Linked DNA regions of Stegostoma tigrinum. The protein of the gene in region 1 interacts with the protein of each later gene in a pairwise test. Links are inferred from orthologs where the notes say so. Each region holds a gene or a part of one and is shown in the gene's direction. Other genes may lie near its edges.

Evidence for each region.
Region 2: the proteins of ift20 (region 1) and EMILIN-1-A-like interact in binary tests that used the Homo sapiens proteins (3 or more experiments, as listed by UniProt). The two-hybrid records come from large-scale screens. The link is inferred for Stegostoma tigrinum from reciprocal best matches to the Homo sapiens genes IFT20 and EMILIN1.
Region 3: the proteins of ift20 (region 1) and kxd1 interact in binary tests that used the Homo sapiens proteins (3 or more experiments, as listed by UniProt). The two-hybrid records come from large-scale screens. The link is inferred for Stegostoma tigrinum from reciprocal best matches to the Homo sapiens genes IFT20 and KXD1.

Annotation. Positions count from the first base shown.
Region 1 is NC_081380.1:36,804,738-36,816,216, forward strand, and holds the start of ift20 (intraflagellar transport protein 20 homolog), read left to right. Parts: upstream 1-7,040; 5' UTR 7,041-7,183; coding exon 7,184-7,310; intron 7,311-11,479. UniProt on the Homo sapiens protein: Part of intraflagellar transport (IFT) particles involved in ciliary process assembly. May play a role in the trafficking of ciliary membrane proteins from the Golgi complex to the cilium.
Region 2 is NC_081362.1:99,069,829-99,080,826, forward strand, and holds the start of EMILIN-1-A-like, read left to right. Parts: upstream 1-6,329; 5' UTR 6,330-6,875; coding exon 6,876-7,030; intron 7,031-10,998. UniProt on the Homo sapiens protein: Involved in elastic and collagen fibers formation. It is required for EFEMP2 deposition into the extracellular matrix, and collagen network assembly and cross-linking via protein-lysine 6-oxidase/LOX activity.
Region 3 is NC_081383.1:537,881-548,779, forward strand, and holds the start of kxd1 (kxDL motif-containing protein 1), read left to right. Parts: upstream 1-6,230; 5' UTR 6,231-6,294; intron 6,295-10,899.

The DNA of each region.
Region 1 (11,479 bases):
CCCATAATAAATTCACCCATTTCTGACTTCAAGGGCCCAATTTTAGTCTTAACCGTTTTTTTTCTTCTCACATACCTAAAAAAGCTTTTACTATCCTCCTTTATATTTTTGGCCAGTTTTCCTTCATAGCTCATTTTTTTCTCTTTGTATTGCCTTTTTAGTTATCCGCTGTTGCTCTTTAAAAGCTTCCCAGTCCTCCGGCTTCCCACTCATCTTTGCTATGTTATACTTCTCTTTTATCTTTATAATGAGGGTAGGGCTGTAGATATCATATACATGGACTTCAGTAAGGCATTTGATAAGGTTCCCCGTGATAGGCTGATGGAGAGACTGAAGTTATATGGGGTCCAAGGTGTACTAGCTTGATGGACAGAGAATTGGCTGGGCAACAGGAGACAAGGAGTTGTAGCGGAAGGGAGTTTCTCCAAATGGAGAACTGTGACCAGTGGTGTTTTACAGGGATCTGTGTTGGGGCCACTGTTGTTTGTGATATACATAAATGATCTGGAGGAAAGTATAGATAGCCTGATTAGCAAATTTGCAGGTGACACTAAAATTGGAGGAGTAACAGATAGTTAGGGGGACTGTTGGAGAATGCAGTAGAATATAGATAGATTGCAGAGTTGTTCAGAGAAATGGCAGATGGAGTTCAATCCAGGCAAATACGAGGTGATGCATTTTGGTAGATCCAATTCAAGAGTGAACGATATGGTAAATGGAAAAGCCCTGGGGAAAACTGATGCATAGAGATATCTGGGTGTACAGGTCCATTGTACCCTGAAGGTGGCAACGCAGGTCGATAGAGTGGTCAATGCGGCATACGGCATGCTTTCATTCATCGGACGGGCTATTGAGTATAAGAGGTGACAGGTCATATTGCAGTTCTATAGGACTTTGGTTCGACCACATTTGGAATACTGTGAACAGTTCTGGTCGTCACATTACCAAAAGGATGTGGAAGCTTTGGAGAGGGTGCAGAGGAGGTTCACCAGGATGTTGCCTGGTATGGAGGGTGCTAGCTATAAAGAGAGGTTGAGTAAATTAAGATTACTTACATTAGAAAGATGGAGGTTGAGGGGGGACCTGATTAAGATCTACAAAATCATGAGAGGTATAGACAGGGTGGATAGCAAGAAGCTTTTTCCCTAGAGTGGGGGACTCAATTACTAGGGGTCATGATTTCAAGGTGTGAGGGAAAAAGTTTAAGGGACATATGTGTGGAAAGTTCTTTACGCAGAGGGTGGTGGGTGCCTGGAACACATTGCCAGTGAAGGTGGTAGAGGTGGGCGCAATAGCATCATTTAAGAGGTATCTAGGCAGATACATGAATGTATCTCTATCAAACTACTATCTCAGATACATGAATGGGCAGGGAGCAGAGGGATACAGATCCTTGGAAAATAGGTGACAGGTTTAGATAGAGAATCTGGATCGGCACAGGCTTGGAGGGCTGAAGGGCCTGTTCCTGTGGTGTAATTTTCTTTGTTCTTTTGTTCACAGTGGGCAAAAGAACCTCAGGCATTAAGTTCATCCAACTTTCATCTGGAATTTCCAAAAAATGATGGGTGATTTAATGAAATATATCAGCTTCTCAAGTAGATAGTGTAGATGTTAAGTCGATTTGTCCCCTGGGGCAGATGTATTTGGGGTCAGCTATTTACAACTGATGAGAAATTATTTTCTTCTGCTCTGGAGGACTTACGTTTCTGATAATTAATGATCACAGATTTCTTAAAAGAGTACATCATAAAATTGCATGATTGGCAATGAATTTTGGAGTGATTATCCATAACACAATATGGTCACCATGCATGCACAGATGCAGCTAGTTACACCACTTAGGTACAACAGGGTAAGTTGTAGGAGGAACCTGTGTATACGTCATAATTCATGTGTAGGAGTTGGGCAACCTATACTTGAAGCAGTGCTGTAAGAGCACCTAACATTCTCGAGCCACTGCATTGCCTTTTCCTGATCCAAACAGTGCTTGCTGATGTCCCTGACAGCTCCACGGCATCAAGTGGCAAGATTTTGAATTCTGAAAGATAAAACCTTTACGCTTTTATTAGCTCTAGCACCTGAGCCTTTATCAGTTCTGGCTGGAACTTATGTCAATAGCAGCATGAAAACTGCCTTTGCCTCCCCGATAGTCCAAAATTATGCCCACTTCATACCTGCCACTCTTGGTACCTCCTATTGGTGACAGTTACAGGAATTGCAAATATTGAATTTACGGCATTCCCATTTCCTGCCTCTTGCCTCCCCCAGCTCTACAGTTTTACTCAGATCCCAAATCAACTGAAGTATGAAACTAGACACTGATACTTTGAAATAATATGTTATTTGCAAAACGTAGCATTCTGTTATGTCTGCTTTTGACCTATAAATCCAGTATCTCAGCAGTCACTATACCATTTTGATCAAACCAAATTAAACTAAATAAACATATGACAGCAGTGCTCCAAGTACACAAATAAACAATGTGTTTCACTGTATATCTTGACAATTCAATTAAAATACTATTAATGTACAACCCCTCCATAGAACGTAGCACTGGAAAATCTGCTAGCAGTCAGTTCATCTCCACGTTCGCAAAACCATTCATCCCATCACCTTCCTCAGCCACATTTTTGACTAAGCTTTTGGTCACCTCTATCATTGCCATCCAAGGGCTGTGCTAATTTTTGTATTATGATTATGCATCTGAGTAACAACTCAGGCCAAGTTCAAAGTTAAAAACTTCCAAAGTAATGAGTTCAAGTAGGCACTAGGAGTGAAGCATTCAAGAGTAAATTGAAAGTTACACACTCATCTGCTGCTTAAAATTCAATTATGTTAACTATCTAGAAGACAGTATGCAAGTTTTAAAATTCTAATGAGAAAAAGTACTTTACATTCTTGGCATAATCAAATGTGTTAAAATACCAAACCACCCACTAAATGAATTGCATTCTTGAACAGAATAAATACTCTGCAGACTTCCAAACCCATCTCCATAATGTAGGTTCATGAGAGAGGATTCTCAAACTTCAGTCCAAAACTTGAGAATTTAAGCATTTAGTCTACAATGAAATACCATCACTTTCAATTGTACTTTAAAATGTGCTACCTGTTGGGTTAACAATAAAATCCAATATTTTATTGAAGAGACAATAGTATCACAAGGATAACAAACAATGGAACAAATCACAGGTGTGATAAGTCAAATGAAATCTAAGCTGAAAAAAATCTGTCAATACAGTGGAGAAATTGTAGTATTGAGAATGCAGAAATACATTCCAACATGGATCAGTTTCAGCAGAATGTCAGTCAATGTTGTTACAAAGTTAATTGAGGGAGAAATATTATTAACAAAATCAAATCAATGCAGTATTAAGTGTCTCAACAGATAACATCGAGTTCATTGCTAACCACAGTAGACTGGAAATTCAGTTTGGAAATTTGCGTTGTATTTGAGAAAAACAAAGCAAAAACAAAATAAAAGCCAAGTATTTTACTCTAGCCATCTCACTATTTGATAATTTCCTACCATAGCAGGCAATTTGGTACTCAAACTAAAAATGATTTCTTTCTTTAAGGCCAATCAGTAAATCTAAATGCTTGCTTTATAATAACATACCATTTTAATATAGTAAAATGTTCCAAAGCACTTATTTCACAGCAGAGCCAAGAAACAAAATCTGATACCAAGCCACAAGAATTTGAGGGCAGATGATCAAAAGCTTGGTCAAAGCAGTAGGTTTAAGTGTAGTAAAAGAAGAAAGACAAATAACACAACAGAAATCTTTAGGGAGGGAATGAGGCTTGGACTGGGTAAGATATAGTCACCAACAATAGAGGAACTAAACCCGAGAGACCAGAGTTTGAAGATTACAGGCATCCAGGGAGTCGGAGAAGCTGGAGGAGATTGCACGTGGCATCAGGTTCATTGCAGGTGCCGTTTTTGTGTTCCTACACTTATCCTTGAAACATGTAGATAACAAGGACACTTACTATTTATTGGCCTCAACTCCACCTTGAACGCCATAATTTTAACCAAACTCATCTCTAAACTCCGAGACCTAGGACTCTGCTCGCTTGACTGCAACTGGTTCTTTGACTTCCTGACCTGCAATCAGTGAAGATGGGTGTCAAGACCTTGATGATAATACTCAACACCACTGTTCTGCAAGGCTTAGCCTCTTATTAAACGCCTTACGCACACACAACTGTGTGGCCAAATTCAGCTCTAACTCCATTTACATGTTGACACCACCAATGTCAGTCAGATTTCAAACAAAAACAAGACAGAGTACAGTAAAGAGATAGAGATAGCAGGAACTGCAGATGCTGGAGAATCTGAGATAACAAGGTATACAGCTGGATGAACACAGCAGGCCAAGCAGCATCATAGGAGCAGGAAAGCTGACATTTCGGGCCGACCTAGTTCTTTGCAGCTCACCGTCATTTTATTATCTGAATATTTGCAATTTTGAGAATTTAGGCTTCATTACATTTGAATAACCTGCAGATCTTGAGCCAAACAATGTTAGCATGGACATTAAATATGCTTTTCTCACTTATCAACTGTGCCTTATCTGAACCGTTACATACTCATTTCCAAGCCCAAAAAAAACCTAGCTTCACTTCTCCTGCTGACTACCGTTTCTTTTGTACTTCACAAATTTAAGCTTAAACTGAATTTGAAGGGTCTAGGCCCGAAACGTCAGCTTTCCTGCTCCGATGATGCTGCTTGGCCTGCTGTGTTCATCTAGCTCTACACCTTATTATCACAGGAAAGAGATAGAGAGTTTAGTGGCATGGTGTAAAGACAACAATCTCTCTCTGTGTCAGCAAAATAAAACAGCTGGCCATCGACTTCAGGAAGCAGAGTGGAGGACACGCCCCTGACTGTATCAATGGTGCTGAGATGGAGATGGTTGAGAACTTCAAGATCCTAGAAGTAAATATCATCAACTTGTCCTGATCCATTCATATCTATGCTATAGTCAAGAAAGCACTCTAATGCCTCTACTTCCTCAGAAGGTTAATGAAATTCAGCATGTCCACAATGGCTCTTACCAATTTTTATAGATACACCATAGAAAGCATCCTATATTACATATTACAGCTTGGTATGGCTCTTTCCAAGACCACAAGAAATTGCACAGTTGTGAACGGACCCCAGACCATCACATAAAACAGCTTTCCTTCCATTGACTCGCTCTAGAATTCCCACTGCCTCAGAAAAGCTGCCAACATAATCTAAGACCCCTCCCACCTCTTCCATCAACAGAAGATGTAAAAGTTTCAAAACATGTAACAACTAATTTAAGAACAGGGTCTTCCCTTCTGTTATCCGACTTATGAATGGACCTCTCATATATTAGAGCTCATCATTCTCTGCACCTTCTCTTCAGTTTCGGTATGTGACAAAAATAAATAAAATAAAACTAAATAAATAAGAACAAAATCAGATAAGGAGGGACAAGGCTGTGGCAAAATCTGAAACCAAAGATGAAAACTTCAAAATGTAAGTATTACTTAACTGGATCCAATGTTGATAAGTCAGCAGAGTTGATACTGAAGGGGATTGATGCACATACATGTATTGAAGGGTAAATCACGAGAAGCTGAAACACATTGGAATAGCTGTGTCTAAAGGTAGCAAACACATGCATTTGTTTCAGCAGATGAGCTGAACCACAGTCAGGGGTGGAAACAGGCAGTCTTTGTTTGGGACTCATATTGAAGTCAAATTCAATACAAAGATTTTAAACGATCAGATTCAATGTCAGACAATTACTGAGGAGAGGAGTGGAATGGATACCCAAGGGGCTGAAAGCAACAAAAGCTGAAGGCTCCTTCGGTCTTTCCAACATGAGAAGAAATTTCTGTTGTCGAATACAGTGTGGTCTTTTAGAAAGTATTGGTGAGGTAAAGGGGAAAACTCGATGAAACCGATGCAACCTAGGAAATATCCAGCTTCAACCTAAACCAATGGCATAGCCTGCTTAAACAATTCACTTAGAGCTCTCAAATTTGGGGCGAGTTTGAGGGAGTTCCACCCTCTACGATCACTTCTTCCAGCTGCCATGAGGAGCCTAAACTCGCTTCAAAACAAAGGTTTTAAACGATCAGATTCAATGTCAGACAATTACTGAGGAGAGGAGTGGAATGGATACCCAAGGGGCTGAAAGCAACAAAAGCTGAAGGCTCCTTCGGTCTTTCCAACATGAGAAGAAATTTCTGTTGTCGAATACAGTGTGGTCTTTTAGAAAGTATTGGTGAGGTAAAGGGGAAAACTCGATGAAACCGATGCAACCTAGGAAATATCCAGCTTCAACCTAAACCAATGGCCTAGCCTGCTTAAACAATTCACTTAGAGCTCTCAGATTTGGGGCGAGTTTGAGGGAGTTCCATCCTCTACGATCACTTCTTCCAGCTGCCATGAGGAGCCTAAACTCGCTTCCATTGAGGCGGTCACTGACATCTCTTTATCGACAATCGCTCAGTCCGCTTTGCTGAACTTTGTTCTGACAACACTGTCCAAAGCGAGTTTGTTTATTCGTTCGTTAAAACCCTCCCCACCCCCGAAGTAGGCCCAGTACCTGCAGCAGTTGCCGTGCCGACCATTCAAACCGCCTCCGCTCCTCCTTCTCTTCCGGCGCAAGGGCATTCACACGTGACTTCGATCCCGTCCGTACTCGTCTAACTGCGCACGCGCGCTAGCCACACGCCGGCTCCCGATTTAGTGCGCACGCGCGCAGATATATTTCCCGCCGCTGGATTGCACTTTCATGGCTCAGTTAAAGTGCCGTCCAGTCGCCCAGGCCATCTCACCGATGGTTGGAGCTCGCCGATAAATGATCATTTAAAACAACAAAGAGCGAAGATTCGCTAGCTTCAACCGTTATTTTGTGTTGCAGTGAGATTTCTTTTTAAATCCTTCTGTATACAATACTCTGGACAAACGGCAAACTAAAGTTCTTCAGCTCTCCAGAATCTGTCTGGTAAGAAAGATCAAAAATAATGTTGCAGAAACCCACACTACCTTGAGAGACTGAGTGAGTTTTGATACTGAGCACGCGCGACATCCGTGGGTGCCCCGCCCCCTGTGACCGCGCATGCGCAGCAGGGCGGAGAGAGCCGTCGCTGTCGCCGTGGCAGCGGCAGAGGGGACGAGAGGGTATTGTTGATTCTGATGGCGATGGAGTCCCTCGGGGAGGCCGGCCTGCACTTCGACGAACTCAACAAACTCAGGGTCCTGGACCCTGAGGTGGCGCAAAGTACAACAGAATTGAAGGAGGAGTGCAAGGACTTTATAGAAAGTAGGTGCGGAGCAGGATATCTGTCACGGTATGGAGGGGTTGCGGGAGGATGGTAAAGAAAACTAGGATAGACAGAACATGTACATTATACAAAGCCTCTCACCAGTCCGGAACTTTTCGAAACTTATTTTTCGGTGGCCAATTTAGTACTTCTTTGTTTAGGAGCTGCAGTTATCTGGGGAACATGGAAAATGCTTTGTACATAGCAAGATCCCACAGATTGGCAAATTGTTGGTTGAGAGGTAACCGTCGGAAAGGATTACTGAGAGCTTTGCCCTTCGAAATGATGCCATGGGATCTTTTGTTTGGAACTGAGAGGGCCAACAGAGCATCAGTTTAAACACTCATTTGAAAGATGACATCTCTCACAGTGCACCCTTTTGTATTACATTAACCTAAGCCCACGTCAGTCTTCCTGCTCCTCTGCTATTTGGCTGCTGTGTTCATCCAGCTCTACGCCTTGTTATCTCTTAACTTAAATTAGGCCTTTCACCCGATCAGAGATAATGGGAACTGCAGATCCTGGAGAATCCAAGATAATAAAGTGTGAAGCTGGATGAACACAGCAGGCCAAGCAACATCTCAGGAGCACAAAAGCTGACGTTTCGGGCCTACAGCCTTCATCGGAGAGGGGGAGGCGGACCGAAGATGGATAGAGGAGAAGATAGGTGGGGATAGCCCGGGGAGGACGGACAGGTCAAGGAGGCAGGATGAGGTTAGTAGGTGGGAAATGGAGGTGCGGCTTGAGGTGGGAGGAGCGGATAGGTGAGAGGATGAACGCGTTAGGGAGGCGGGGATGAGCTGGGCTGGTTTTGGGATGCAGTGGGGGGGAGGGGACGAGCTGGACTGGTTTTGGAATGCAGAGGGAAAGGGGGAGATTTTGAAGCTGGTGAAGTCCACATTGATATCATTGGGCTGCAGGGTTCCCAAGCGGAATATGAGTTGCTGTTCCTGCAACCTTCGGGTGGCATCATTGTGGCACTGCAGTAGGCCCAGGATGGACATGTCATCTAAAGAATGGGAGGGGGAGTGGAAATGGCTTGCGACTGGGAGGTGCAGTTGTTTATTGCGAACCGAGCGGAGGTGTTCTGCAGAACCCTCTGATGGTTCTAGGCCCGAAACGTCAGCTTTTGTGCTCCTGAGATGCTGCCTTCTCCTGATCCCAGCTCTTGTCAGATATTTACTATTCATTCTGACCTTCTGTTCTCTGAATGTTCTGTGTTCAGGAAAGGACTTCGTTTTACCCCTTTGTGCCCCTACTTCAATAGCACAACATGACATTAAATTCTTCTGCTGTTCTCTTTGCCTCCATGCCCATTCATTTGGACAAGAGTCCTCTCCCTGACCAATAGACATCTCTTGGCCTGCCTCCAATACGCTGCCTCCACTTGGACCCCTTCCTATGGCCTTTTACCAATTTGCACTTGACCTGTTTGGGAGAGCTTTTGCCTGACATTGGCTGCCTTTACTTCAATCCCCCATCCAGTCAAACCTATATCCCTCTGAACAGACTGCACTGCACGCTCTTTGACCCAACCCTGACTTTGTAATTGTTCCTGCTGATAAGGGTGGTGCTTCTGTTGTCTGGTCTATTGACTGATATATTGTGGAGGCTGAATGCCATCTCCCAGACACCACTAACTATTTTCCGTGGGTTACAGTGCCACCAGGAAACATCAGGCTGAATTATTAACTGTACAATGGTTATTAATCTCATCTTATCTGGGGATTCCACACACACCCAGCCTCCAAGCTCATAGCCCATCAACCCTGTACAGCCTGCTTGTATCTTCGTGAAATTCGTTTGGCTCAACAGATGTTACAAAGTTCTATAAAAAGTCAGAACTAAAGGTTCTATCTAATTGTATTTTGTTTCTCTATTCATTTCGTAGTATCCCTACAGTGTGGAAACAGGCCCTTCAGCCCAACAAGTCCAAACCGAACCTTGGAGCATCCCACCCAGACCCATCCCCCTATAATCCACCTAAGCTACACATCCCTGAACACTATGGTGATCTAGCATGGCCAAACCACCTAACGTGCACATCTTTGGACTGTGGCAGGAAATCGGAGCACCCAGAGGAAACCCACACAGACACGGGAAGAATGTGCAAATTCCACACAGACAGTTGCCCAAGGGTGGAATTGAACCCAGCTCCCAGGCACTGAGGTAGCAGTGCTAACCACTGTGCCGCCCCTGATGGGATGTGGGTATCGCTGACTGGCCAGCATTTCTTGCCCATCCCTAATTTCCTTTGAGAAGGTGGTGGTGAGCTACCTTCTTGAACTGCTACAGTCCTCTTGCTATGGGTTGATTCACAATGCTATTAGGGAGGTAATTTCAGGATTTTGACCCAGTGACGGTGAAGAAATGGCAATATTTTTCTAAGTCAGGATGTTGAGTGGCTTGGAGGTGGTGGTGTTCCCATATGTCTGATGACTTTGTTCTTCTAGATGGAAGTGGTCGTGGGTTTGGAAGTTGCTGTCTGAGGATCTTTGATAAATTTATGTAGTTCATCTTGTAGATTGTACACGCTGTTGCTACTGAGCATCAGTGGTGGAGGGAGTGGATGCTTGTGGATGTAGTGCGGTCAAGCAGGCTGCTTTGTCCTGGATGGTGTCAAGCATCTTGAGTGTTGTTGGGGTTGCATTCATCCAGGCAAGTGGGGAGTATTCCATCACAATCATGAGTTGTGCCTTGTAGATGGTGGACAGGTTTTGAGGAATCGGGAAGTGAGTTACTTGCTGCAGTATTCCTAGCTTCTGGCCTGTTCTTGTAGCCACTATGTTTATGTGGTTAGTCCAGTTGAGTTTCCGGTCACTGATAACCCCCAGGATGTTGACTAGTGGGGGATTCAGTGACGGTAACACCATTGAATATCAAAGGATGGTGGTAAGATTGTCACTTATTGGTGATGGTCATAGTGTGGCATTTGTGTGGCACAAATGTCACTTGCCACTTGTCATCCCAAGCCTGGATAATGCCTGGATCTTGTTGCATTTGAGCTGCTTCAGTATCTGAGAAGTCATGAATGGTGCTGAACATTGCGCAATCATTAGTGAACATCCCCATTTCTGACATTATGATAGAGGGAAAGTCATTGAAGCAGCTGAAGATGATTGGACCGAGGACATTACCCTGGGTAACTCCTACAGAGATGTACTGGAGCTAAGATAATTGACCTCCAACAACCATGACCATCTTCCTATGTGTCAGGTATGACTCTAACCACTGGAGAGTTTGCCCCCTGATACCCATTGATTCCAGTTTCGCTACAGCTCCTTGATGCCACACTTGGTCAAATGCAGCCTTGATATCAGGGGCTGTCACTCTCACCTCACCTCTGGAATTCAGCTCTTTTGTCCATGTTTGAACCAAGGCTGCAAAGAGGTCAGTAGCTGAGTAGCCCCGGCAGAACTCAAACTGAGTGTCACTGAGCAGGTTATTTCTGAGCAGGTGCTGCTTGATAGCACTGTTGATGACACCTTCCATCACTTTACTGGTGAATGAGAGTAGACTAATGGGGTGGTAACTGGCCAGGTTGGAATTGTCCTGCGTTTTGTGTGCAGAACGTACTTGGGCAATTTTCCACATTGTTGGCTAGATATCAGTGTTGTAACTGTATTGGAACAGCTTGGCTAGGGGAGCGGCAAGTTCTGGAGCCACAGGTCTTCAGTACTATTGCTGGAATGTCGTCAGGGCCCATAGGCTTTGCAGTATCCAGTGTCTGTAACCGTTTCTTGATATCACATGGCGTGAACTGAATTGGTTGAAGACTGATATTTGTAATGCTGGGGATCACTGGAGGAGGCCAAGATGGATCATCCACTCAGCATTTCTGGCTGAAGATGGCTACAAATGGTTCTTTTGCTCCTTATCTTTTGCACTGATGTGCTCGGCTCTTCCATCATTGAGGATACGGAAATTTGTGGAGCCGCCTCCTCCAATGAGTTGTTTAATTGTCCAGCACCATTCATGACTGGATGTGGGACGACTGCAGAGCTTAGATCTGATCGATTGGTTGTGGGATCACTTTGCTCTGTCTATCACTTGCTGCTTTCACTGTCTGGTGTGCAAGTAGTCCTGTTGGTGGTTTCATCAGGTTGATACCTCCATCTTTATCTTGTATGTAGCATTTGTATCAAAAAGAAATTGATAGCACACACTG
Region 2 (10,998 bases), on another chromosome or scaffold:
TGTGGCGGGGGCGGGGTGTGAGGGATGTGTTGCGGGAAATACGGGAGACGCGGTCAAGGACGTTCTCGATCACTGTGGGGGGAAAGTTGCGGTCCTTGAAGAACTTGGACATCTGGGATGTGCGGGAGTGGAACGTCTTATCGTGGGAGCAGATGCGGCGGAGGCGGAAGAATTGGGAATAGGGAATGGAATTTTTGCAGGAGGGTGGGTGGGAGGAGGTGTATTCTAGGTAGCTGTGGGAGTCGGTGGGCTTGAAATGGACATCAGTTACAAGCTGGTTGCCTGAGATGGAGACTGAGAGGTCCAGGAAGGTGAGGGATGTGCTGGAGATGGCCCAGGTGAACTGAAGGTTGGGGTGGAAGGTGTTGGTGAAGTGGATGAACTGTTCGAGCTCCTCTGGGGAGCAAGAGGCGGCGCCGATACAGTCATCAATGTACCGGAGGAAGAGGTGGGGTTTGGGGCCTGTGCAGGTGCGGAAGATGGCCTAACCCTAACCCTATCGCACCTACACAGGCCCCAAACCCCACCTCTTCCTCCGGTACATTGATGACTGTATCGGCGCCACCTCTTGCTCCCCAGAGGAGCTCGAACAGTTCATCCACTTCACCAACACCTCCCACCCCAACCTTCAGTTCACCTGGGCCATCTCCAGCACATCCCTCACCTTCCTGGACCTCTCAGTCTCCATCTCAGGCAACCAGCTTGTAAGTGATGTCCATTTCAAGCCCACCGACTCCCACAGCTACCTAGAATACACCTCCTCCCACCCACCCTCCTGCAAAAATTCCATTCCCTATTCCCAATTTCTCCGCCTCCGCCGCATCTGCTCCCACAATAAGACATTCCACTCCCGCACATCCCAGATGTCCAAGTTCTTCAAGGACCGCAACTTTCCCCCCACAGTGATCGAGAACGCCCTTGACCGCGTCTCCCGTATTTCCCGCAACACATCCCTCACACCCCGCCCCCGCCACAACCGCCCAAAGAGGATCCCCCTCGTTCTCACACACCACCCTACCAACCTCCGGATACAACGCATCATCCTCCAACACTTCCGCCATTTACAATCCGACCCCACCACCCAAGACATTTTTCCATCCCCACCCCTGTCTGCTTTCCGGAGAGACCACTCTCTCCGTGACTCCCTTGTTCGCTCCACACTGCCCTCCAACCCCACCACACCCGGCACCTTCCCCTGCAACCGCAGGAAATGCTACACTTGCCCCCACACCTCCTCCCTCACCCCTATCCCAGGCCCCAAGATGACATTCCACATTAAGCAGAGGTTCACCTGCACATCTGCCAATGTGGTATACTGCATCCACTGTACCCGGTGTGGCTTCCTCTACATTGGGGAAACCAAGCGGAGGCTTGGAGACCGCTTTGCAGAACACCTCCGCTCAGTTCGCAACAAACAACTGCACCTCCCAGTCGCAAACCATTTCCACTCCCCCTCCCATTCTCTGGATGACATGTCCATCATGGGCCTCCTGCACTGCCACAATGATGCCACCCGAAGGTTGCAGGAACAGCAACTCATATTCCGCCTGGGAACCCTGCAGCCTAATGGTATCAATGTGGACTTCACCAGTTTCAAAATCTCCCCTTCCCCTACTACATCCCTAAACCAGCCCAGTTCGTCCCCTCCCCCCACTGCACCACACAACCAGCCCAGCTCTTCCCCCCCACCCACTGCATCCCAAAACCAGTCCAACCTGTCTCTGCCTCCCTAACCGGTTCTTCCTCTCACCCATCCCTTCCTCCCACCCCAAGCCGCACCCCCATCTACCTACTAACCTCATCCCACCTCCTTGACCTGTCCGTCTTCCCTGGACTGACCTATCCCCTCCCTACCTCCCCACCTATACTCTCTCCACCTATCTTCTTTACTCTCCATCTTCAGTCCGCCTCCCCCTCTCTCCCTATTTATTCCAGTTCCCTCTCCCCATCCCCCTCTCTGATGAAGGTTCCAGGCCCGAAACGTCAGCTTTTTGTGCTCCTGAGATGCTGCTTGGCCTGCTGTGTTCATCCAGCCTCACGTTTTATTATTTTGAGATAAGTGGAGTTTTCAGTTGGCAGACTAATTAGTGGAGTGCCCCAGGGATCAGTGCTGACTTGTTAACTACTGTATTTAGAATCTGTATTAATGATAAGGAGACAAGTTGTTTTGTCACAGCTCACCTCCACTTTCTCACAGCTAGAATGGGTAACAAATGTTAGTGATGTCCACATCATTAAATGCACAATGCAGAGTCTGCACAGGGATGCAAATAGATGTAAGAGTGGACAAAAGTTTTCCACTTCAAATACATTGTAGGAAAATGTGAAGATTGGCAGATACAACAGAAAAGCAGAATATGACTTTTATAAGAGTCTGCAGAATACTGCATTAAAGATGGATCAGGGTGTCCTTATACATGAATTGCAAAAAAGCAATTAGCTTGCTGATACAGCAAAACAAATGGAATGTAGCTGTTTTTTGTGGGGAGGAATGGAGTGTTAAAGAAAGGAAGTCTTACTACAACCATACAGGGTATTGCTGAGACTGACCCTGGTGTATAATTATACAGTTAGAGTCTCCTTATTTCAGAAGGGATGTTCTTGCATTGGGAGCAGTTCGGATACTCTTCATTTGGCTGTTTTGGGACAATGCTCATTAGAGTTCGGAAGAATGAAGGGTGATTTTATTGAAATATATTAGATTCTGAAGGGCCTTGATGGGATTGAGATGGTGACTACGGAAATCTTTCATCTCGTGGGGGTATCTAGAACGAGGCAGTACAGTTTAGAGATGAAAAGACTCCCATTTAAGACAGAGATGATGAAGAACTTCTTCTGGATAATTGTTAACATCTGGAATTCTCTTGCCCGGACAGCAGCAGAGACTACACTGTTGAATATATTCAAAACTGAGTTAAACATGTTTTTGGTCAATAATTATTGGAAGGGCAAAAGTACCTTTTATTATTTCCTGAATGCCACAACCAAATCAGCCATGCTCTTTATTGAATTATACAGCAGAGTGGGTGGGCCAAATGGCCTACACCTGCTCCCTCTTTTTATAGTTTTATATTCCTGTGTGGAGTGAAATGACATGGATAGTGGGAGTAGAGAATGGAATCCACATAAGACTAACAAATATAGCCATTGGAAGATCTGGTTTATGTGTGGATCAGAAACAGGGTGAATATCTTTAGTGTATTGGGGTTTCCAAGGATAAACTTGTTTCTGTATTCAAGTCCTTGTGCAATGAAGGCCTCTTCACTGCCTTTTGCACCTGTGCACTTACTTTCAGCAACTGGTGCTCAAGGACATCCAGATCTGTTTTTGATGAAGGGCCTGGGCTCGAAACATCAGCCTTCCTGCTCTGCTGATGCTGCTTGGCCTGCTGTGTTCATCCAGCTCTACACCTTGTTATCTCGGGTTCTCCAGCATCTGCAGTTCCCATAATTTCTATTCCAGATCTCACTGATCATTCTCCCTGTCTCACACTTACTGTCATTCACATAATAATCTGCCTTCCGGTCCTATCAAATTGGATAACCTCACATTCATCTACATTAAACTATATCTGCCTTGCATTTGCCTACTCATTCAGCTTGTCCCAATCACATTGCAACATCTATGCATCCTCCTCACAGTTCATCCTACCATCCAGCTTTGTAGCATCTGCAAATTTTGAGATATTACATCTAGTTCCCTCATCTAAATCATTAACATGTCCATGAACAGCTGAGGTGCTGGGTGGAAGTGGATAGGGGGCATCAAGCAAGAATTGGGAGATGGCCTCTAAATGCGGGGGGAAAAGAAGCTGTAGGGATGCAGCTGCATTGTGGCAATGTCACTGTGCTTGTAATGCAGAACCCCAGGCTAATGCTTTGGGGAATTCAATAAAAAGTAGCCTCATACAAATCATGTCACCGCTGTTTTTTGTTCTTAGAAACCCATCTGGTTCACTAATGTCCTTTAAGAAAGGAAATTTGCTATCCTGCCACCCTGTCTGGCCTACATGTGACTCCAGACCCACAACAGAGTGGAAGACCCTTAATGTTAGAGGAAATGGTAGAGGTGGGCGCAATACAATCTAGAAAAGACATTTGGACAGGTACATTTTTACGAAAGCTGTAGAGGGATACGAACCAAATGCAGACAAGTTGGACTAGTTCAGTTTAGGAAACTTGGTCGATGTGGACGAGTTGGACTGAAATAACAAAGTGTGGAGCTGGATGAACACAACAGGCCAAGCAGCATCTTAGGAGCACAAAAGCTGATGTTTCGGGCCTGGACCCTTCATCGGAAAAGGGGGAGGGGGAGAGGGTTCTGAAATGAATAGGGAGAGAGGGGGAAGCAGATTGAAGATGGATAGAGGAGAAGATAGGTGGAGAGGAGACAGACAAGTTAAAGGGACGGGGATGGAGCCTGTAGAGGTGAGTATAGGTGGGGAGGTAGGGAGGGGATAGGTCAGTCCGGGGAGGACGGACAGGCCAAGGAGATGGGATGAGGTTAGTAGGTAGGAAATGGAGGTGTGGCTTGAGGTGGGAGGAGGGGATAGGTGTGAGGAAGAACGGGTTAGGGAGGCAGGGACAAGCTGGGCTGGTTTTGGGATGCAGTGGAGGGAGGGGAGGTTTTGAAGCTTGTGAAGTCCACATTGATACCATTGGGCTACAAGGTTTCCGAGCGGAATATGAGGTGCTGTTCCTGCAACCTTCGGGTGGCATCGTTGTGGCACTGCAAGAGACCCAGGATGGACATCTCATCTAAGGAATGGGAGGGGAATTTGAAATGGTTCACGATTGGGAGGTGCAGTTGTTTATTGTGAACTGAGCGTAAGTGTTCTGCAAAGCGATCCCCAAGCCTCCGCTTGGTTTCCCCGATGTAGAGGAGGCCACAACGGGTACAGCGGATGCAGTGGAGAGATAATGGGAACTGTAGATGCTGGAGAATCTGAGATAACAAAGTGTGGAGCTGGATGAACACAGCAGGCCAAGCAGCATCTTAGGAGCACAATAGCTGTCGTTTCAGGCCTAGATCCTTAGCCCAAAATGCCAGCTTTTGTGCTGCTAAGATGCTGCTTGGCCTGCTGTGTTCATCCGCTCCACACTTTGCTAGCAGCGGATGCAGTACACCACATTGGCAGATGTGCAGGTGAACATCTGCTTGATGTGGAAAGTCTTCTTTGGGCCTGGGATGGGGGTGAGGGAGGAGGTGTGGGGGCAAGTGTAGCACTTCCTGCGGTTGCAGGGGAAAGTGCCGGGTGTGGTGGGGTTGGAGGGGAGTGTGGAGCAGACAAGGGAGTCCCGAAGAGAGTGGTCTCTCCAGAAAGTAGAGGGAGAGTCTGTTTCCACACTGTGTTCTCTGAAATGGCCCAAGCAAACCAATCAATTCAACTGGCAGTTAGGGATCAACAATAAATGCTCAATAAATTAACAACTAAAAGAAAATAAATGGCAGGAGAAATTGACTTGCGAAAGGAATTGTGGAACAGTAGTGTAACAGAGACAATGAAGGTGTAACTGTGCCAGCATTGAGCTGAAGGCTTTGTTCCTCAATGGGAGTTCCATTTCGGTCAATCCTGATGTGCTTCTCAGGATGTCTGTCTGTCTGGCTTAGCTATCTGTGCTTACAATACAGACTCTGTTCTTCCTCTTGGTCACAGATTAAAGCTCCATAAACTTTCCCTGGGGCCCCCTTCATCATGAAAGTACTGGCCAAGGCTGAAGTGTGATGCTGGAAATCGAACCTTGGCTTTTTCAATCACACCCCTAAGATTTAATCAGCTTCCAGTAAATGTAGCATGTGGAGATTTCAAAACAAACATAAGAACAGCAGAAGGAGTTTGTCATCCTTTAAATAGAAATCAGACAAGGGTCACAGAACCTGCTGAGACAGCAAGGTCCATTGGTGCCTCCATTTTAAAATTCTCATTCTGCTTTCAAATCCCTCAGCGGCCTTACCTGCTCTGCAACTTCCCCATGTCCTACCAATCTGGGAGGCTTCTGTGCCCCTTCCCTCTTCTGCTGTTTGTTTTAATTTACCCCATCTCTGGTAGGGTTCTGATCTTTACCGGGGGACAGCATGCTTCATCTGCGCTGTTCAAACCCTAAACTCTGGAATTACTTCCCAGAATCTCCTCACTTCAGACATTAAATACACTAACATCGGCATATCCTGAAGCACAGCTTTGTCTGTTGATGTTAGGGGCACTGGATAGTGTTAGCAAGGGGGAGGAGTGAAATGTGACAGGGGCAGAGGGGGAGGGAAGGGGTCGGGGGGGGGGGGGGTGAAGAGAGAAGGATTGGGGGGAGCATTTGCAGGAGGAAAAAGAGAGAGAGAGACAGCAGAGAGATCGGAGCGGGGTGAGTGTTGTGGGTAGAGGGCAGGAGATCAGAAAGAGGGGGGAAGAGGATTAAGGCAGAAGGGGGTACTTACCGTGGATTGGGACAGCCTTATGGGAGGAGTTCAGGTTTTCCGAGAATAAAAAGGGTTTTTGGCAGCGAAGCAATATTTTACATTCCGGAGGCTGAGATTAATTAGCTCCAGATGTGAGTCCCCGAGAGAGAGAAAGCAGGGAGTGAAAAATAGAGAGGGAGGGAGGGAGGAAAATCTTCGGAAAGGCAGCAGGAGAGAGAGAAAAAGAGACGGTGACAGAGAAAAAAACCCAGGCAAAGAACGAAGCAGAGTGTGGGAAAAGAGAGGGAGAGAAGTTTCAGGGAGCATTGAATGAAATAATCGACACAGGATCGAAAGGAACGTTTCCCAAGTTTGGAGAAGTTTCTCAGGAAGTGGCTGGAATCCCGGGAGGGATCCAGGCGCTGGTTGATCCCGGTTGATCCAGAATCCCTGTCGAGACTAGAGTTTGGTGAGCGCCTGCGAGCATGGCCAGGGCTCTCTGTCAGTTTCTCTACCTCCTGTCGATCCTGGTGCGGGCTGCGGCGGTCAGTTATCCCCAAAGATACCCCCTGTACTCGGCAGTCTCCGCGGAACACAGCAGCCAGGCGGAGCCCGGAGTGAGGGCAACCAGCAGGCACAGGTAAGGGAGAGGAGGAGAGAGAGGGCAGGGGTGGGGGTGAGGGGGAAAGGGTGAGTGTGTGGGGGTAGAGGAGAGGGAGAGAGAGGAATGGGAGGGGAAGGGAAGAGGTGAGTTGGGAACAGGGAAGAGGGAGAGAATGGAAGGAAGAGAGGGAGGGAAGAAGGGGAGAGGAAAGTGTGAGGTAGGGAGAGAAAGGAATTGGAAAGGGAGAAATGGAGAAAGAAGTAGGGGAGATGAAAGGGGGAGAGAGGGGAGTGAAAGATAGAGAAGTGAGATGGAGGAAGAGGGAGAGGAGGCTGAGAGAGAGTCAGGAGAACAGATTGAAGGGAGTGGGGAACAAAGGTGGATAGAGATGGAGAGAGAGAGGGAGAGGGAGATTGCGAGGAGGAGAAGAGAGGGAGGGGAGTGAGAGACACTGAGTGAGAAGTGTGGGAGGAAAAGAGAAAGGGAGAGTGGGTGGGGGCAAAGGAAGAGAGGTGGGTAAGGGGGAAGAGAGAGTGAGAGGTGAAATGGGGAAAGGGGACAGAAAGTGGGGGAGGAGGAGGAGAGAGGGAGAAGGAGGATTGGGGAATGGCTAGAGGGAGAGGGAGAAAGCAAGAAAGTCAAACAGAAATGGAGAGAGGGAGGGAGTGAGGGAAGAGAACAGGGGAGGAGGGATGTGGGAAAGGGGTGTGGTGATGAGGAGAGGGAGAGAAGGACAGAGAGGAAGGAGTAGAGACAGGGGAAAGGGTGAAAGAGTGAATTGAGGAGATGGAGGGAAGAGGGGTTCAAGCTGGAATATTGAATAGCTGGAATATTGATAGCTGGAATATTGAATTTCCAGAATGATGTGGGTTGTAGGGAGAAGTCGTATGAGTCTTTTTTCAGCGTCAGAGCAACTCCCAACTGGTTCTAGACATTGCGATAAGATTTTGTCTAGCAAGTGGTGAAATGCCTATTACCAGGAATTACTGTTCAGTATCTGTCTCATTAACACCAAATTTCACCTCATTAATATGCAACTCCCTTTTCTACCACATGGCAGATAGCAGCCAGACATCAAGGATTCCTGACATGAAATTCTGAGTGGCTACTGGGCAACCCCCATCCCAACGAGTGCTCCTCTGGCCATCCACCAGCTTCACACACACCCCAAGCCCACAGACACTGGCCACTATCATGGCAAATCTTGATCCACATGTAGTATAGTTCTGTAAATACTGCCCTGGAACCTCTCATTGAAAAGATGCTGCATTGTCACAGAGACAGGCATCAGCTCGTGGATCTCAGAGTTCTCTGAATAGTCACTTACTCATGTCTACTTCAATGCACAAAGCGTCTTTGCCTTGCCCTGCCCCACTCTCCCTTGACCTACCTTAACCGTGCCCTCTTTGTCCTGAGATCCTGAGCTTCTAGTTGCCTGCCATTTCCACACACCACTGCGTTCCCTGTCCAACTTCTTTGTCTAGTGCTTGCTGAAGTACTTCAACAAAGATCAGTGCAAGCCAGAAGAACAGCACTCCGTTTTCCACTTGGGAACGCTACAGCCTCAGGACTCAGTATTGAGTTCAACAACTTTAGGAACTGAACACCTTCCCCATACTTTCCCCACCCCAACACCCAAGGCTTTGATCTGCGATTATACATGACCCATTGTTAGCCACTAATATTCCCCATTAGCAGATATTCATTCTCCCAGACAGACTGTTATCTACTCCTTTGTCTGTTCAACTGTTCTTCTCTCTTTGGGCTCTATCCCCACCTATCGTTTACTCCCATTGAACTTTGTGGGAAGCGAGCAAAGTGATTGCTGGTCCCCTTACTGAGATTCTTGTATCATTTATAGCCACAGGTGAGGTACCGGAAGACTGAAGGTTGGCTAGCAGGGTACTATATATTTAAGTAAGCTGGTAAGGAAAATCCAGGAAACTGTAGACTGATAAGCCTGTCCTCAGTGGTGTGCAAGTTGTTGGAGGAGATCCTGAGGGATAGGCGTTATATGTATTCGAAAAGGCAAGGACTGGTTAGAGATAGCTGACATGGCTTTGTGTGTGGGAAGTTATGTCTCACTAACTTGATTGAGTTTTTTGAAGAAGTGACGAAGAGGATTGGTGAAGGCAGAGTGGTGGACATTGTCCTTACGTTTTCAGCAAGGTGTTTGACAAGATTCCTTATGGCAAATTGGTTAGCAAGGAGAGATCACATGGAATTCAGGGAGAGCTAGATTGTAAATTGGGAGAGGGGAGTGCGCAGCAGGACCTGGGTGTCCTTGTGCACCAGTCACATGCAGGCGCAGCAGGTGGTAAAGAAGGCAAATGGTATGTTGGGCTTCATTGCGAGAGGTTTTGAGTACAGGAGCAGGGATGTGTTGTTGCAGTTGTACAGGGCCTTGGTGAGACCACACCAAGAATATTATGTGCAGCTTTGGTCTCCCTTTTGCTCTCGAGGGAGTGCAGCAAAGGTTTACCGGGTTGATTCCGGGGATGGTGGGACTGACATATGAGGAGATATTGACTACGTTGGGATTGTTTTTGAGAGAGTTCAGACAAATGAGGAGGAGGGCGGGGTCTCATGGAGACTAACGGGACTGGACAGGGTAGATGCAGGGGGGGGGGATGTTCCCGATGGTGGCTGTGTCCAGAACCATGGGTCACAGTCTGAGGATTTGGAGGAGACCATTTAGGATGGAGATGAGGAGACATTTTTTCACCCAAAGAGTGGTGAGTCTGTGGAATTCATCACCACAGGAGGCAGTTGATGCCAAAATATTGAATGTATTCCAGAGGTGTCTAGATAGAGCACTTAGGGGTGAACGGGATCAAAGGTTATGGGGAGAAAGCAGGGTTACAGTATTGAATTGGACAATCAGCCATGACCGTGATGAATGGAGGAGCAGGCTCAAAGGGCCAAAAGACCTTCTCCTTTTCCTATCTTCCATGTTTCTATGTATTTGGATTCAAAATTGACTTGATGGTAGGAGATAGAGGGTTGTTTTTCAGACTGGAGACTTGTGACCAGTGGTGTTCCATGGGGATTGTCCTGGCTCCACTGCTTTTTATCATTTATATAAATGATTAGGGTGTGAACACAGGAGAAGTGGCATGTAAGCTTTCAGATGACACCAAAATTGGAGGTGTAGTGGACAGCGAAGAAGGTTACCTCAGAGTGCAATGGGACCTTGATTCGATGGGCCAAGGGTTGGCAGATGGAATTTGATTTCGATAAATGTGAGATGTTGCATTTTGGTTGCATTTTATCTGTGAATAGCCTCTGTCAATCAACTTTTGCAAGTTTTTGCCTAATACCGTCAAAATTGGCCTTACTCCAATTTAGAACTTTCACTTTTAGATTGGTCTATCGTTTTCCATAATTAACTTAAAACTAATAGATTTATGATTACTGGCCCGAAAATACTCCCTACTGACCCCTCAGTCACTTGCCCTGCCTTATTTCCCAAGGGTAGGTCAAGTCGTGCTCCTTCTCCAGTAAGTTCTTCCACATACTGAATCAGAAAATTTTCTTGTACAGATTTAACAAATTCCACTCCATCCAAACCCTTAACACCACTGCAGTCTAAGTCTGTGTTTGGAAAGTTAAAAGCCCCTACCGTTACAGTCCTATTATTCTTACAGATAATTGAGATGTCCTTATAAGTTTGTTCCTCGATTTCCCGCTGACTATTGTGTGTGGGGGGGTGGGGGGGGGGAGGTAATGAGGAATCTATAGTGAAATCCCAATAAGATAATCCTCTCTTTCTTTTTTCTCAGTCGCATCCAAATACTGGTCATAGTCCCAGGAACATCCTCCCTAAGTATTACTGTAATGTTATCCCTAACCAAAAATGCTACTCTATCCCCTCTTTCTATCCTTCCGATAGCATCTACATCTTGGAACTTTAAGCTGCCGGTCCTATTCATGTCTCTGTAATTGCTATGATAGCCCAGCCTCATGTTCCCAACCATGCCCTGAGTTCATCTGCCTTACCGTCA
Region 3 (10,899 bases), on another chromosome or scaffold:
TACTGTCTCAGTCCGAAGACACAAAATGGGCACAACTCGTCTGTATTTATACATTAGGAATGACCTCCACCAATCAAAAGCGGAGTAGCGTACTTAAGCGTCCATCAGCCAATGAGAAGCGAGCTTATCAATAGGTGGCCTTTTTGGCCGGGAAAGCAACATGACAGAAACGGCGTGAAAAACTCGAAACCCAAACCTTAGAAAAAGAAAACCGTCTACAGTGAGTAAACGACACAGATCTTGGGGATGGAAACATCCCCAACAGTTAACTTGAGGTTGAGTCCATGATTAAGAAAGCGAGTGTAATGTTGTCATTTATCTCAAGAGGGTTGGAATATAAAAGCAGCGACGTGCTTCTGAGACTTTATAAAGCTCTAGTTAGACCCCATTTAGAATACTGTGTCCAATTTTGGGCCCCACACCTCAGGAAGGACATACTAGCCCTGGAGCATGTCCAGCGGAGATTCACACGGATGATCCCTGGAATGGTAGGTTAACGTATGATGAACGGCTAAGGATCCTGGGATTGTACTCATTAGAGTTTAGAAGGTTGAGGGGAGATCTAATAGCAACTTACAAGATAATGTATGGCTTAGAAGGGATGGACGCTAGGAAGTTGTTTCCGTTAGGCAGGGAGAATAGGACCCGTGGGCACAGCCTTAAAATTAGAGGGGGTAAATTTAAAACTCAAATGAGATGGCATTTCTTCAGCCAGAGTGTGGCGGGCTTGTGGAATTCATTGCCACGGAGTGCAGTGGAGGCCGGGACGTTGGATGCCTTCAATGCAGAGATCGACTAATTCTTGATCTCACAAGGAATCAAGGGCTATGGGGAGAGTGCAGGGAAGTGGAGTTGAAATGTCCATCAGCCATGATTTAAATGGCGGAGTGGGCTTGATGGGCCGAATGGCCATACTTCCACTCCTTTTGTCTTATGGTCTTAACATTTTTCTGTACTATATTGCATTACCTGACAGCGTATCCTCCTGAACTCTATTATTAGCCACTTCATTGTTCATTGCAATTGAACAAAGAAAGTTACAGCACAGGAACAGACCCTTCGGCCCTCCAAGCCTGCGCTGATCCAGATCCTCTATCTAAACTTGTCACCTATTTTTTAAGGATCTATATCCCTCTGTTCCCTGCTCATTCATGTATCTGTCTAAATACATCTTAAATGATGCTATCGTGCCCGCCTCTACCACCTCCGCTGGCAGTGCATTCCAGGTACCCACCGCTCCCTGCATAAAGAACTTTTCAAGCATATCTCCCTTAAACTTTTCCCCTCTCACCTTGAAATCATGACCCCTAGTAATTCAGCCTCCCACTCTGAGGGAAAAAGCTTCTTGCTATCCACCTTGTCTATATCTCTCATGATTTTGTAGACCTCAATCAGGTCCCCCCTCAACCTCCGTCTTTCTAATGTAAATAATCCCAATCTACTCAACATCTCTTCATAGCTAGAGCCCGCCATACCAAGCAACATCCTGGTGTACCTCCTCTGCACCCTCTCCAAAGCATCCACATCCTTTCGGTAATGTGGCAACCAGAACTGTACACAGTATTCCAAATCTGATTGAACCAAAGTCCTATACAACTGTAACATGACCTACCAACTCTTGTACTCATTACCCTGTCCGATGAATGAAAGCATGCCATATGCCTTCTTGACCACTCTATCCACCTGCATTGCCACCTTCAGGGTACAATGGAACTGAACACCCAGATGTGCATCAATTTTCCTCATTTATCGTATAGTTTGCTCTTGAATTGGATCTTCCAAAATACATCATTTCGCATTTGCCTGGATTGAACTCCATCTGCCACTTCTTCGCCCAACCCTCCAATCTATCTATATTCTACTGCATTCTCTCACAACCCCCTTCACTATCTGCTATTCCACCAATCTTAGTGTCATCTGCAAACTTGCTAATCAGACCATCTATACCTTCCTCCAGATCATTTATGTATATCACAAACAACAGCGGTCCCAACACCGATCCTTGTGGAACACCACTGGTCACAGTTCTCCATTTTGAGAAACTCCCTTCTACTGCTACTCTCTGTCTCCTGTTGCCCAGCCAGTTGTTTTTGCATCTAGCTAGTACACCCTGGACCCCATGCAACTTCACTTTCTCCATCAGCCTGCCATGGGGAACCTTGAGTTTTGTTTTATCTGCAAAATATGAAATTATACTCTGTATTCCCAGGTGCTGGCCATGAATATGTATCAAAAAAGCAGTGAGCCCAACACCCATCCTTGGGGAACACCAGAGTATACTCAGCCTACATCCTGTGAATAAATAAAAAAACAACTTGCTCCCAGTCTAAGAAACACCCACTCACTGCATTTATCTACTTTCTGAGTTTTAGCCAGTTTCTTGTCCGTGCTGCTAATATTTCTTTAAAGCACTGGCTACAATCTTGTTAACAAGACAATGATGTGCTACTTTATCTAGGGTCAAATATCGCTGATTACTGGTACTCAGTGTCAGCTTATGCTTACTGTGTTTTTAATGATTCACACAGCTGGTCATGATGTTTGTGCTATGGTTTAGTCATTAATCCCCAAAGGTTCTGTAATCTTGTTTATGGGTGGCAGCAGACTAGTAGATTTAGTAAGCGGTGGAGAACATAGATTTACTTAGCATTAGATGGGTGTTAAAGTTTGATTACTGAGCTGTACATTTTCATTAAGAGAGCTCAATGTATTGTATGCTCTGTCAGAGTGCAGTTTTGTTTTATGGAGCATGAGGAATTGGAGTTCAGCAACTCAAATTGATTGACAGGGATCAGAGGGAACGGTTCTGCTAATCTGACTGTAAAATAAACAGATTTAATTGAGTGTCTGATTTCTGCAAGTGACCACATCACCCTGGTCTCACCTTCTCAAATAAATCATGACCTGTAAAGTTCACCTTGCCCTTTGTCAGTGTTTCACTAAGTTTATCAAGTCACATCAGGTAGACAGGAGGTTACTGTGTGAATGGGTAAAGGCCAACCAGCATCCTGCTCCTTATCAGTATTCAGTGAATTCTGGGTGAGAGAGAGAAGGGAAATCAGGCAGAGATCCTGCTCCTGATCACTGGCCAGTGACCCCAGCTGTGGAATTTAGATTGGAACTATAATATTGGTTTAATAATGACTTGGCAACATGCTTAGCATCTCTCTCTGTATTTTATCTCCATATTCCTGTCTTCCTGTGATATCACGTTGGAGCTCTGCACAACTTGTCAGAGTAAACTAACTCCTGTCCCTCACTGGTGTTACGGACAGTATTGGTTTACCTGGAGCTCAGTGCTTCTGGGAATCGTTTGCATTTTGTTGCTTCCAGTGGCAAAGGAGAAATATTTGTTTTCTTAATCTGCTCACATTTAACAATATTGTTAAAATGACTGGCAGTTTGGAATTACGAACTCTTGTCATGTTCCAAGCCAAAGACTCTCAATTTGAACACTAAGAATTTGGCTTTTCTCAAAATAAATAACTCCAAAACAAACCAAAGCTGATCCCCAAAACCCAGTTTTCTCAACTACTTGATCATCTCACCAATATCCCAATTCTATAAATCTGATTTTATAAAACACAGATTGCCATTTTGCCCATTTTTTATGAAAAACGAGAACTCTACATTTCTGACGGTGAGGGCTCCCTCAGGAATTAGGAGCCGAACTTCCATTCATAGTTGTGAACTTTCAGGGAAAGGCAGACAATGCTCCATTTTCACAGCATTCAGTGGCTGTATTCTTAAAAGATCCAGCATCACAGACAGCCATTTTGACAGCTGCAGTCAAGTGATATTTGTGAGGATAGAGTGCCAGGGGGTTATAGGGTAGGATGTTGGAGGACGGGATGCAAGGTGGCAAGGAGACCAAGTAAGTGATGCAGGTTTAGAGTGGTTTGGGGTGGGTGAGAGAAATCTGGTCTGACAGATTAATCAGGTCTGAAGTGGGGTGGAGCATCAGGTCAGAGACTGGGATTGTAACGGGTCTGAAGAGATAAGTATGGAGTCGAATAAATAGTTAGGAGTAATACTATACGTTTGATAGTCTAACTTTTCCTGAGTAATTATTTACTTATTTTCATTGGAACCCTTTGAACTCTCTAATTTAAATGGATACTTTCAAACAGTTCCTGCATCAGGGAGTTGCCCAGCGGAATCTCCAATTTCCAGCGTAATTCTTTCAGAATCTGCCACAGTGGGAATTCCATAGGGTCCCCACGTGCAACTCCCAAATACACGGGAATCACAATTATGTCTGCCTTCATAAAATGTGGCCCCCTCCTTAAGTCATAAATTTACATGGGCTCTAAATAAAGCAGTCACCAGAAATTGGCATCCCCATCAGACCCTGGACCAATGAACACTGAGTCAGCCTGCACACAATCATCAAACTTTATGTAAAAACTCTTAAAATTGTTTAGATCAGAAATTATTATGGTATTTATTCCTAGGACAAATAATTAGAATTAATAATTACTATAGAATCACTAGAGGACTTTGATATTTGTGTACAATAAACTGAAATTTGTTAACATATTGAAGATTCATTAAATTCTGCAATTTATAACCAAGACATATTGAGTACAGTACATACACAGACTATACTTAGTGTATAAGCAGTTGTGTACATGATGTGTATGCGGGATACATGGAGGCAGAATGTGTGCTTTAGACAGAATATGTGTAGTATATACACAATATGTACGATCTCTGAGTAGTGTATTTGATTATACTAACTATTTCATGCATACAGAATCTACAATATTTATATGGGGCAGAACATATATAAGGACTTAGCTTCAGATTGCGAGATTCTAATTTTGACTAAAACTGATAAACTGTTAATCATCCAATCCTATATAAGCCTTTTAAAAGTTGAGTGAAAAATTGTAGATGTCTTTCTCTGAGTAAACAAATAAAGTGCGTAATCAAACTATCCTGACATCTGTTTCTTTCATCATCAAAACTCAAATCTAAGACTGTCAAACATCACATTCAACACAGTAATGATCATTCACTGTATAACTAAGGGTCACTATTTATTCAGGGTAAGGGTCACTTGCTGTGTAACTATAGAGTCAGTGTTTATTCAGAAGGATAAGGGTTACTTACTATTGGAATGCAAATTTGAAGACTAATGCCTTATCTTCTGCCCAGGCACCCTACAGCCTGGAGGACTCAACATTAAGTTCTCTAATTTCAAATAACCTTCCCACCCATCCTCTGGCTCCTGTTCCAGCTCCACCACCTTCCTTCCATTCCACCTTGTGACCCTTCCTTCTAGCCACCAACCGAATTCATCCCTCCCATCGATCAATGAGTCGTACCTTTCACCAGTGTCCCCACCATTCCGCACTTCCCCTTTATCTGCCAATTCCCTTACCCCAAATCCAGTCCTGAAGGGGAATTAATTACTCCTTGCCTCCAGATGTTGCATAGCCTGCTGTGTTCTTCCAGCTCCCTGTTTATCTATCAGTACCCCTTAGTTCTAGATTCTCCTACAAGACGAATTATCTCCTCATCCAACCCATCAAGACCATTGATATATATTTCACTCAAATTAGCTTTAACTCTTCCAGACTCCAGGAGATACATGACGAACCTATACACCCTTCCAAGTAAGGCATCTATTGCATTCCCAATCTACATTAACCTAAAATATCTGAATTGCTTCCCTCCAAATTTCACAGCTTTGCAATCTGTCACTCTTACATTTTTCTCAAAATTGACAATTTTCCATTTTCCATACATTATTCTCCATTTCCCAGATCTCTATCCAGCCACTAACTTGTAACAATATGTTATCCATATCATCCCTACAGTGTCAAACAGGCCCTTCGGCCCAACAAGTCCACACTGACCACGAGAGCATCCCATCCCCATATAACTCACACTTCCCTCCACACTATGGGCGATTTAGGATGGCCAAATCACCTCGCCTGCACATCCCTGGAGGCTGACACGGGGAGAATGTGCAAACTCCACACAGACAGTTACCCGAGGCTGGAATTGGACCTGGGTTCTTGGCGCTGTGAGGCTGCAGGGCTGGCCCATGAGCCCATTGGGCCCAGCCCTGACCCTTGTGGCACATCGCTGTTACAGGCCTCACTCTCCTCGACCACCCCGTGTCTCCGACCTTCCAGCTAGTTCTGACGCGGTGGGAGGGGGGGCATTCGTTTCCCAGCAACGGCCTTGGTGATCCCTGACCCCGCCCCACTTCCGGTGCACGGAGAGAAATACGCATGTGCGCCGCCATTTGCTCAAGGAGCCTCTGAGGACTGTCGAAACAAGGTTTGAAACTAAATTTCCGTTAAACTTCAAAGCGCCATTTCTGTAATACAGCCTGTAATATGTTATACAACTGTTAAAGTACACCAGAGATAAGATTTTACAACACTCATTGGGATGGTCTGTCACTATAACACCGGGGAACAATGCTGGGGGGGACAGGTCTGTCACTGTATAGCACTGGGGTACAGTACAGGTGGGGACAGGTCTGTCACTGTATAACACTGGGGTACAGTACAGGTGGGGATGGGTCTGACACTGTATAACACTGGGGTACAGTACTGGTGGGGACAGGTCTGACACTGTATAACACTGGGGTACAGTACCGGTGGGGACAGGTCTGTCTCTGTATAACACTGGGGTACAGTACCGGTGGGGATGGGTCTGACACTGTATAACACTGGGGTACAGTACTGGTGGGGATGGGTCTGTCTCTGTATAACACTGGGGTACAGTACCGGTGGGGACAGGTCTGTCTCTGTATAACACTGGGGTACAGTACAGGTGGGGATGGGTCTGACACTGTATAACACTGGGGTACAGTACTGGTGGGGGACAGGTCTGTCGCTGTATAGCACTGGGATACAGTACCGGTGGGGACAGGTCTGACACTGTATAACACTGGGGTACAGTACTGGTGGGGGACAGGTCTGTCGCTGTATAACACTGGGGTACAGTACCGGTGGGGACAGGTCTGTCACTGTATAACACTGGGGTACAGTACCGGTGGGGACAGGTCTGACACTGTATAACACTGGGGTACAGTACTGGTGGGGGACAGGTCTGTCGCTGTATAACACTGGGATACAGTACCGGTGGGGACAGGTCTGTCACTGTGTAACACTGGGGTACAGTACTGGGGGGGACAGGTCTGTCACTGTATAACACTGGGGTACAATACTGGTGGGGACAGGTCTGTCTCTGTATAAACTGGGGTACAGTACCAGTGGGGACAGGTCTGTCTCTGTATAACACTGGGATTCAGTACCGGTGGGGATCAGGTCTGTCACTGTATAACACTGGGGTACAGTGCTGGTGGGGACAGGTTTGTTACTGTATAACACTGGGGTACAGTACTGGTGGGGGGCAGGTCTGTCACTGTATAACACTGGGGTACAGTACTGGTGGGGGGCAGGTCTGTCCCTGTATAACACTGGTGTACAGTACTGGGGGACAGATCTGTCCCTGTATAACACTGGGGGACAGATCTGTCCCTGTATAACACTGGGGTACAGTACCTGTGGGGACAGGTCTGTCACTGTATGACAGTGGGGTACAGTACCAGTGGGGGATGGGTCTGTCACTGTAACACTGGGGTACAGTACTTGTGGGGATGGGTCTGTCTCTGTATAACACTGGTGTACAGTACCGGTGGGGGACAGGTCGGTCACTGTATAACACTGGGGTACAGTACAGGTTGGGACAGGTCTGTCTCTGTATAACACTGGGGTACAGTACTGGTGGGGGGACAGGTCTGACACTGTATAACACTGGGGTACAGTACCGGTGGGGGACAGGTTTGTTGCTGTATAACACTGGGGTACAGTACTGGTGGGGACAGGTCTGTCCCTGTATAACAGTGGGGTACAGTACTGGGGGGGGACAGGTCTGTCTTTATATAACACTGGGGTACAGTACTGGGGGACAGATCTGTCCCTGTATAACACTGGGGTACAGTACCTGTGGGGACAGGTCTGTCACGGTATGACACTGGGGTACAGTACCGGTGGGGGATGGGTCTGTCACTGTATAACACTGGGGTGCAGTACTGGTGGGGGGCAGGTCTGTCACTGTATAACACTGGGGGACATTACCGGTGGGGGACAGGTCTGTCTCTGTATAACACTGGGTTACAGTACAGGTGGGGGACAGGTCTGTTGTTGTATAACGCTGGAGTCCAGTACTGGTGGGGGACAGGTCTGTCACTGTATAACTCTGGGGTACAGTACCGGTGAGGGACAGGTCTGTCACTGTATAACACTGGGGCACAGTGCTGGTGGGGCACGGGTCTGTCTCTGTGGAACACTGGGGTACAGTGCTGGTGGGGCACCGGTCTGTCACTGTACAACACTGGGGTACAGTACTGGTGGGAGATCGACCTGTCTCTGTATAACACTGGGGCACCGTACCGGTGGGGATGGGTCTGTCCCTGTTTAACAGTGGGGTACAGTACCAGTTGGGACAGGTCGGACTCTGTGTAACACTGGGGTACAGTACCAGTGGGGACAGATCTGTCCCTGTATAAACTGGTGTACAGTATCGGTGGGGACAGGTCTGTCACTGTATAACACTGGGGTACAGTACCGGTGGGGACAGGACAGTCCCTGTATAACACTGGGGTACAGTAGCGGTGGGGTGAGGCCTGTCACTGTATAACACTGGGGTACAGTACCGGTGGGGACAGGTCTGTCACTGTATAACACTGGGGTACAGTACCGGTGGGGACCGGTCTGTCACTGTATAACACTGGGGTACAGTACCGGTGGGGACAGGCCTGTCACTGTATAACACTGGGGTACAGTACCGGTGGGGACAGGTCAGTCCCTGTATAACACTGGGATACAGTACCAGTGGGGACAGGTCTGTCACTGTATAACACTGGGGTACAGTACCGGTGGGGACAGGTCAGTCCCTGTATAACACTGGGATACAGTACCAGTGGGGACAGGTCTGTCACTGTATAACACTGGGGTACAGTACCGGTGGGGACAGGTCTGTCACTGTATGACAGTGGGGTACAGTACCGGTGGGGGATGGGTCTGTCACTGTGTAACACTGGGGTACAGTACTTGTGGGGATGGGTCTGTCTCTGTATAACACTGGTGTACAGTACCGGTGGGGGACAGGTCGGTCACTGTATAACACTGGGGTACAGTACAGGTTGGGACAGATCTGTCTCTGTATAACACTGGGGTACAGTACAGGTGGGGGACAGGTCTGTTGTTGTATAACGCTGGGGTACAGTACCGGTTGGGGCAGGCCTGTCACTGTATAACACTGGGGTACAGTACCGGTGTGGGCAGGCCTGTCACTGTAAAACACTGGGGTACAGTACCGGTGGGGGCAGGCCTGTCACTGTATAACACTGGGGTACAGTACCGGTGGGGACAGGTCTGTCTCTGTATAACACTGGGGTACAGTACTGGTGGGGGACAGGTCTGACACTGTATAACACTGGGGTACAGTACCGGTGGGGGACAGGTTTGTTGCTGTATAACAGTGGAGTACAGTACCGGTGGGGACAGGTCTGTCCCTGTATAACACTGGGGTACAGTACTGGGGGGGACAGGTCTGTCATTACATAACACTGGGGTACAGTACTGGTGGGGGGCAGGTCTGTCCCTGTATAACACTGGGGTATAGTACTGGTGGGGGGCAGGTCTGTCCCTGTATAACACTGGGGTACAGTACTGGTGGGGGGGCAGGTCTGTCACTGTATAACACCAGGGTACAATACCGGTGGGGGACAGGTCTGTTGTTGTATAACACTGGGGTACAGTACAGGTGGGGGACAGGTCTGTTGTTGTATAACACTGGGGTACAGTACCGGTGGGGACAGGTCTGTCACTGTATAACACTGGGGTACAGTACTGGTGGGGACAGGTCTGTCACTGTATAACACTGGGGTACAGTACTGGTGGGGACAGGTTTGTCGCTGTATAACACTGGGGTTCAGTACCGGTGGGGACAGGTCTGTTGCTGTATAACACGGGGGGCATGGGTATGTCTCTGTATAACACTGGGGTACAGTGCCGGTGGGGACAGGTCTGTCCCTGTATAACACTGGGGTACAGTACTGGGGGGGACAGGTCTGTCTCTGTATAACACTGGTGTACAGTACCGGTGGGGACAGGTCTGTCTCTGTATAACACTGGGGTACAGTGCCGGTAAGGACAGGTCTGTCTCTGTATAATACTGGGGTTCAGTACCAGCGGGGATCAGGTCTGTCACTGTGTAACACTGGGCTACAGTGCTGGTGGGGACAGGTCTGTCACTGTATAACACTGGTGTATAGTACCGGTGGGGGACAGGTCTGTCACTGTATAACACTGGGGTACAGTACCGGTGAGGGACAGGTCTGTCACTGTATACCACTGGGGCACAGTGCTGGTGGGGCACGGGTCTGTCACTGTGGAACACTGGGGTACAGTACCGGTGAGGGACAGGTCTGTCACTGTATAAAACTGGGGCACAGTGCTGGTGGGGCACGGGTCTGTCACTGTACAACACTGGGGTACAGTACTGGTGGGGGATCGACCTGTCTCTGTATAACACTGGGGCACCGTACCGGTGGGGATGGGTCTGTCCCTGTTTAACACTGGGGTACAGTACCGGTGGGGACAAGTCTGTCACTGTATAACACTGGGGTACAGTCCCAGTGGGGTCAGCTCTGTTTCTATATCACACTGAGGTACAGTACTGGTGAGGACATATCCATGTCTGTGGAACTCTGGGGTACAGTACTGGTGGCGACGAGTCTGTCTCTGTGCAATGCTGGGGTGCAGTATCTGTGGGGATTACTCTGTCTCTGTATAACAGTGTGGACAGAAATGGTAGTGATAGATCTGTCAGTGTATCACGCTGGGGTACAGTATTGGTGAATAAAAA